Linked DNA regions of Schizosaccharomyces pombe. The protein of the gene in region 1 interacts with the protein of each later gene in a biochemical or structural test. Each region holds a gene or a part of one and is shown on either strand. Other genes may lie near its edges. The genes, in order: rbd2 and cdc48.

Region 1 (3,928 bases):
TTAAATTTCTAACATAATATATTAGATGAAAATTCAAAAATCGTTGTTAGTTAACTGGCTTTTAGAGTTAATGCTGGCCAAATTGAATTCTCTTGATGAAAAAGAGCGTCTCGAATTATTTCCTGAAAATGTAATGCAACAGCGCCAACAGGTTCAACGGGAGTTTTCAACTCTTCTTAATCAATACAAAGATGAGATAAATCGTGAAGCAGCTTATAATCTTGCTAATAACTATGGTAAGGAAGAACAGTTACTTCAAATTGCTACCGTTATGAAAGACCAGTCTTACATAATGCACTATTGGGTACAAAGAGAGAACTATGAAAAAGCGTTGGAGACATTAAATGAAGGCGTCAGTCAAGAAACCCTCATTCAGCATGCGACTGCCCTTTTAACTCATCGACCGAATGAAACTGTCAGCATTTGGGAACGTCAAACAGATTTGGACGTACATGCATTGATACCATCCCTCTTGAGTTATAATCAGCGTTCTCACGTACCGGTAGAGGAAAATGCGGCCATAAGATACCTTAGATACGTTACTGGTGTTTTGGGGTGCGTAGATCCATCTATTCATAATACATTGTTCTGCATTTACGCTTGTCATTCGAGTTCTAATGAGTCTTACTTAATGAATTATATTGAACAGCAAGGAAATCATCCTTTGTACGATATGGATTTAGGAATTCGATTATGCTTGCAATTTAACTGTCGGAGAAGTGCAGTAAAAATTCTGGTGCTTATGAAGCTGTATAGCCAAGGAGTGGAATTAGCCTTAGAAGCAGATGATTGTGAATTAGCTGCTACGATAGCAAATATTCCAGAGGAAGATGTTGTGTTGAAAAAAACTTTGTGGCAGACTATTGCAAAATATATGTTTTCCAAAAAAAGTGGAATTAAAGAAACCTTGAGATTTTTAGAGAATTCCGAGGTTTTACAACTTCCCGAGCTTATTCGCCTATTGCCAGAAGATATAAAACTGGACGATTTAAGTGATAATGTGTGTGATGAACTGGATCATTGCATGAAAAGAATTGAACAGCTGGACTTCGAAATCGGACAAGCATCAGAAGTTGCGCATGAAATACAAACTAACGCTGAAAATATGCGTAATAGGTACATTGTTTTGGAGCCCAATGAATCATGCTGGCACTGCAACCAACCTCTTTTTTCCGAACCATTTGTTTTATTTCCTTGTCAGCATGCTTTTCATCGCAGTTGTATGCTAGAAAAAACTTACAAACTGGCATCAGAAAAAAACATTTTGAAAGAATGTCAGTTGTGTGGTCCTTCTTATGCTGTAAGACTTATTAATGAACCTTTTTCGACGGATTTTTGAGTGCCATTTAAATTACCATTATTATGTGTTTTCGAGTCGTTTATTGCTTGCACCGAACAGCCTTAACGACCTTGACTTAAACAGTTTTAGACTCAATGAAATTTATACTAATGACTAGTTTTTTCACTCATATTGTCTTTGACATCGATCTCCCTAGTCGTTACCACCCCTGAAAAATTTGATATTTCTAATATAATATTAGCATTGAAATTGGAAGCTACAACTTCTTATATCTAGAATTTTTAATTGTTTTTAAAGTGCTATTCGTTTTCGAATCACGACTAAAAGTCATAATTCTTTTCTCATATATATTCTTAAACCGGTTATATTGTTTTTTGTGCTAATGAGTAGAAATAGCTCACACTCCACACGGTAAGCGTGCGATTTTAAAATAAAACCAATATTTTTGAATAAAACCCTTGGCTTTCCTTTGGTTTGTCTGCAAACGTAAGGCGAGCTCTCATATTCGCTTCAGGTGACCGGATCTTCCTTCGTGAACCATATGCCGCATTAGCGTATCCAGATCGTATTTCAGTCCCCTTTGAACTAATTTTGAAAAATTTATTAAATCAAAATTGTACGGATATTAAATTAGTAGCTTCTCGATGATTTTCATGATTCTAGGACGATCAAAGGAGTTCATTCTGAAATTACCGATATGGACGCAAATAATAACTTATATCGCCATTCTGGTGTATGCACTTTCCTTCTTTGGAATATCCACGGGGGTTCTGTCTCTTAGCTGGATAGGATTGTTGCAAAAAAGGCAGCGTAAGTTAAAATTCCTTGGTACTTTAATTAATAACGGAGAGAGTAGTGTATGAAATTATAACTTATGTAACTCTTCATCTTTCAATGTTGCATATTGTATTTAACTTTGTATCCCTGTTGCCAGCAATGTCTCAATTTGAAAAGAAGCAAGGCACTTTGGCGTGCATTTTGGTGACGGTCATTCCTTACACTCTTTTCCCGGGTATTATGCATTTAATTGTCTACCATTTTTTCTTGAGAAAAGATTACGTTTCTATTGCTGGACTTAGTGGATGGGCTTTTGCTTTTATCTCTGCTTCCTGTGTTCACTCTCCACAACGATTGTAAGCATTTCTTATAATTATGGTTGCAGATGCATACTTCCACACGTCTTCTTTCCTCACAATGTTAAGAAACAACCTGGTTTGTATGATTTTTTGCAAACGTCGAACCTCTCTTGTCTTTTAAATGATGGCGGTTTATTAACTTATTTTTTAGAATCAGCTTTTTTAATCTTTTCAGCATTCCTGCATATTGTTTTCCTATTATTTACCTAATTATGACTACCATATTGGTTCCAAAAGCTAGCTTTATCGGGCATGCATCCGGAGCTGTTATGGGGTATTGTACTCCTTTCATGCTTGGTTCTATCCCCTTAAAAAGCTGGGCTCAAAATGTGGACCCAATCTTCCAGTCTTGGGTAAAAAACTATCACTCTTTTGATCAACTGTCGCATGCTCAACTCCCCATTGCGGAACCTCTGTCGACCTTTTCTTCTTTCCCCGGAAAAGGAACCCGTCTTGGGGGATGAACTTTCTGTCTTTTACTTCTTTTCTGTTCTTCTTCGTATGATGATATCCTAAATGTTTGTTTTCTTTATTGCAAAGGGTGGAAAAGCTCCTCTCAATGAAGAGATCTTCTATCTTTTGGTAATTCTTATTCAGTATTTTCTAGTCAGTCGTTTACAGGTTTCAATCATAAAGATTGTTTCATTCGCTATATTTGTTCTTTACTTGCACGGAGTTAGGGACAATTAGAAAGTATTTTAATGTTTAATAATTCTTTATGATTAACTTGTTTTAATCACCACTGTCCTACAGCGGCAGTGTAAAGGACAAAAGCTGTACAATCAAAACACCTTGAAATTGTAATTTCCGTTATTCTTTGGAAACTAGCGTTTTACGTTGTACTCTCAAATCATAAAACATTAAACTGTAAAGACACAGTGAAACTTATACTATTAACAATGGAAGAATGGGAAAATTAAAATAATAGCAGAAAAAGTGAAAACCATTGCTAATCGGTTATCAAGTATCAGATGTTTTTATTAAAACCCTTCATACAAGTTGGAATAACCGGTTTTTATAAATAAGAGAAACAATTCCTTTCGGATAAAGAAAAATAAAACTTGAAAAGTATTTCCCTAGATGAAAATCTTAATTAAGTGTTGTGGGCTAGTTAATTTGCTTGCCTATGTCCATCATCCTTTAAGCAAATACTGTTTTATCGACAAGTACAAGAGATCGAGTAACTCGCTGTATTGTTTCGAGAGCAGCGCGAACGATGCTTTGATCAGAAGGGGGAATGTTTTCAACAGAAGAGGGAACTGAGGAAGTGTTAGGTAAAGGAGCATTTACGGAGATTACGATATCTGTTTGAAAGTCAATCAAAGTTATCACATTCACGAAGATTGCCACATTGGTAGCGGATTCAGGATTTCGCTTTCCTTTTTCAAGGACCCTCTGACAACCTTGTACAGAAGATCCACTAGCCTTTTCGCTTCTCATGCCCTCAAAGTCGTCTTCACCAAGACTTTTGTCTCTCCAAATTACTCTTTGA
Region 2 (3,928 bases), on another chromosome or scaffold:
AACCACAGAAGTCCCTAGTGCTTGAAGGACTATAGGCAAATACTCTAAACGTGACAAAATTACAGACAAAACGACTTTCAAAGATTCTCTTCTAACAATCCAAGATACATCTTCTTCATCTTCGTAAATGCTGCTATAGTCACTCATTTCTTCGAGAAAGTCAGCGATATCATCTTCATCATTAGTATCAGATATTAAATTGGGATCATAAGAAATTTTAGAGATTAAGAGACCATGTAATTCTGGCCAAATTTTCAAAATATTCACTTGTTGGTACTCTAATAACAATCCTAAAACCTCCAACAATTTTTGCGTTAACTCATCTGGGGCTTCTTCCTTCTTTAATAACGATAATATTTTATTGGTGTAGTCAGCAACTGCTGTTGAGATGAATGATGTAGATGAATCTTTTTCTTTTTTAGATGACAGAAGTATTTCGTTAAGCAATTTAATAGAAATATTTACCTCGGACATTTGGGTCGAGGGTCCCAAACCTCGATCAAGCACCTCAATTATATATTTGTATGCAAAGCGAGGCCCATAAAGTGATACGTCAGAAAGGAGATAGCAAGCCTTTTTAATAATTAATTCTCTTTGGCATTGTGTCGTACATTTTTGGAATACGTCTATACACAATTCAAAATTGTTAGGTAGAAGAGTCGAAAGATTAGAATGGTATATTTCTAGAGAATCACAGACCACACAGAGAATTGCAAAAAATTCCTCTTGAGCAACGTTGTACTGTTTTAAAATTTGTAAAAATGAAGGGAATACAGTCGAAGTATAAAATTTGTTTACGAAAGGTTGGACGTTCGAGTTGGACAAAAGCAAACTGAGAGCAGACAAGTAATTTTTCGATTTCTTCCCAGCAACTCCAGAAAGCAAATTTTCAACAGTAGATTTTAACTTATCTTGTGGAATTTTGCTAGAAATTATAGCAACACAACGAACTGCCTCTTGTTGAACCTCTGGCGAAGCATCACTCAGTGCTTGTAATAAAACATCGAGTGTATCAGGAAAGCTCTCCAATTTGAGATTTTTCAAATGGTTTGCATCATTAAGTCGGGCAGCTAAATCGCTGAGTGCCATGTAACGTATGTCTTTATCGCTACCTGCAACAGTTAGAGCTAGTTTTTTATTTTTAACATACTTTCAACGTATTTTTTTAATAAAATTCCCTCCTCCATTTTACAATTGATTAATTTTTATGGCCACTAAGGTAGGGATTCAGCAGTTTGTACAATGAGCCTGACAGCGTGTATCATAAAGGATTCCACACCATAAGCCATATAACGAACAGTAAGTATGGATATTTAAAACACATTAAATTCCTTATTAAAGATTGAACTAATTTTATTATTGATTGTGCAATACAATCAATAACCATAAAAGAAGAATATTTGATTAGCCTTAACTTACTGCTAAACACTTTTACAAAACGCTTTCTAGAAAATTGATGTTTATAGTTATAATGATAAATAATATTGCAAGGGTTTCAAACTAAAATATTTAGCTTACTAAACCGCCAACCAAGTTTCATTTCAATTGAAAACGGATAACACTCAAAATGTTTATTTTATGCTTAGTAATGAAGTTTTAAGCACATTTAGATATAGGGCGGTCGTTCGAATTTTTGCATTTCTGTAGTTTAAAATTTCCTCGTAGATTTTACTAGAAAATTGTTTACTATTGATGTTCTTGGAACATTCTAATAGCAACGACGTTTCCTTGGTAAAAGAAGAATAGATAAATTAAATTTGGCAATTTATACAATACGTGTTTTCTAGAGATGCGTTAAATAAAAACAATCTAGCGAAAATAATGGAAATTGGTAGTAACGACCTTGCGAGGCAGCTATGTAGCAGAAAGACTCAACTGCTTACAGATGTTATTATACAGAAAAAAAACAATTAGAAGAATATTTAGAAATAATTTACCTTTTTGAGCAATAATTTCATGTATCTTTATAAATTGAATGCTCATATATAAGCGCATGGTGCATGGTCGAATGAACGCACCATCCACCATGACCGATAAGAAACCAGAAGTGGAACACCTTCAGGGTGAAAACCCTCCAAAAGAGTATGTTTTCGATGTAGCAGTAACTTTTTTTTAGAATTCGATGCTAACAAGCTCAGTACATATAGTGCAGAAGACACAGCAACAGCTATTCTTCGTAAAAAAAGAAAACCAAATTCTCTAGTGGTCGATGACGCTACCAACGATGATAACTCAGTAATCACATTGTCGTCCAATACCATGGAGACTTTACAACTTTTCCGTGGTGACACAGTTGTCGTTAAAGGAAAGAGACGGAAAGACACTGTCTTGATTGTTTTAACTGACGAAGAAATGGAAGATGGCGTAGCAAGAATTAATCGTGTTGTTCGTAACAACTTGCGCGTAAGGTTAGGCGATATTGTAACGATCAATCCTTGTCCAGATATTAAATATGCTGAACGAATTTCAGTACTACCCTTGGCTGATACCGTCGAGGGTCTTACTGGTTCTCTCTTTGATGTTTACCTTAAGCCGTACTTTGTTGAAGCGTATCGTCCTATTCGAAAGGGCGATCTTTTCGTTGTACGGGGTAGTATGCGTCAAGTTGAATTTAAAGTTGTTGATGTTGCTCCTGATGAATTTGGCATTGTTAGCCAGGATACAATTATTCATTGGGAAGGTGAACCCATTAATCGTGAGGATGAAGAAAGTAGCTTGGCAGAAGTTGGCTATGACGATATCGGTGGTTGTCGTCGCCAGATGGCTCAAATCCGTGAGCTTGTCGAGCTTCCCCTCCGTCATCCCCAATTATTCAAAAGTATAGGTATCAAGCCACCTCGTGGTATCCTTATGTATGGTCCTCCAGGTACCGGTAAAACTTTAATGGCTCGCGCAGTTGCTAATGAAACGGGCGCTTTCTTTTTCCTGATTAATGGTCCTGAGATTATGTCAAAAATGGCAGGCGAATCTGAGTCTAATTTGCGGAAGGCGTTTGAAGAAGCCGAAAAAAATTCCCCTGCTATTATTTTTATTGATGAGATAGATTCTATTGCTCCCAAGCGTGAAAAAACGAATGGTGAAGTTGAACGACGTGTTGTTTCACAATTATTGACTTTAATGGATGGTATGAAAGCTCGTAGTAATGTTGTAGTAATGGCCGCTACCAATCGTCCTAACTCTATCGATCCGGCATTGAGACGTTTTGGTCGTTTTGATCGTGAAGTCGATGTTGGTATTCCTGATCCCACCGGCCGCTTAGAGATCCTTCGTATTCACACAAAGAACATGAAGCTTGCTGATGACGTTGATCTTGAGCAAATTGCTGCTGAGACTCATGGTTACGTTGGATCTGATTTGGCATCTTTGTGTTCTGAAGCTGCCATGCAACAGATTCGTGAAAAGATGGATATGATTGACTTGGATGAAGATGAGATTGATGCCGAGGTTTTAGACTCTCTAGGTGTTACAATGGATAACTTCAGATTTGCCCTTGGTTCCAGCAATCCTTCTGCTTTGCGTGAAACCGTTGTGGAAGTTCCCAATGTTCGTTGGGAAGACATTGGTGGATTGGAAGAAGTTAAGCGTGAATTACGTGAAACTGTCCAGATGCCTGTTATGTATGCCGAAAAGTTTTTGCGTTTTGGTGTCACTCCCAGCAAAGGTGTTTTGTTTTTCGGACCCCCTGGTACAGGTAAGACATTGTTGGCGAAAGCCATTGCCAACGAATGTTCTGCCAACTTTATTTCAGTAAAGGGACCCGAATTGCTTAGCATGTGGTTTGGTGAGTCTGAATCAAACGTTCGTGATATATTTGACAAGGCTCGTGCTGCAGCTCCTTGTGTCGTTTTCTTAGATGAGTTGGATTCTATTGCCAAAGCACGTGGCGCTTCTGCTGGTGACTCTGGTGGTGGTGATCGTGTTGTCAACC

Evidence for each region.
Region 2: the proteins of rbd2 (region 1) and cdc48 form a complex in vitro, tested with the Schizosaccharomyces pombe proteins (one study listed by BioGRID).

What each region holds. Positions count from the first base shown.
Region 1 is NC_003421.2:2,244,016-2,247,943, forward strand, and holds rbd2 (Golgi rhomboid protease Rbd2), read left to right. Parts: upstream 1-1,832; 5' UTR 1,833-1,944; coding exon 1,945-2,110; intron 2,111-2,156; coding exon 2,157-2,433; intron 2,434-2,587; coding exon 2,588-2,900; 3' UTR 2,901-3,228; downstream 3,229-3,928. Other genes in the region: pep3 (ubiquitin-protein ligase E3), read left to right, coding at 26-1,339; Ran GTPase-binding protein Mog1, read right to left, coding at 3,577-3,928.
Region 2 is NC_003424.3:1,304,431-1,308,358, forward strand, and holds the start of cdc48 (AAA family ATPase involved in ubiquitin-mediated protein degradation Cdc48), read left to right. Parts: upstream 1-2,014; 5' UTR 2,015-2,026; coding exon 2,027-2,082; intron 2,083-2,138; coding exon 2,139-3,928. Other genes in the region: knd1 (cullin-associated NEDD8-dissociated protein 1), read right to left, coding at 1-1,112, 1,151-1,187. UniProt on the Schizosaccharomyces pombe protein: ATP-dependent chaperone which probably uses the energy provided by ATP hydrolysis to generate mechanical force to unfold substrate proteins, disassemble protein complexes, and disaggregate protein aggregates.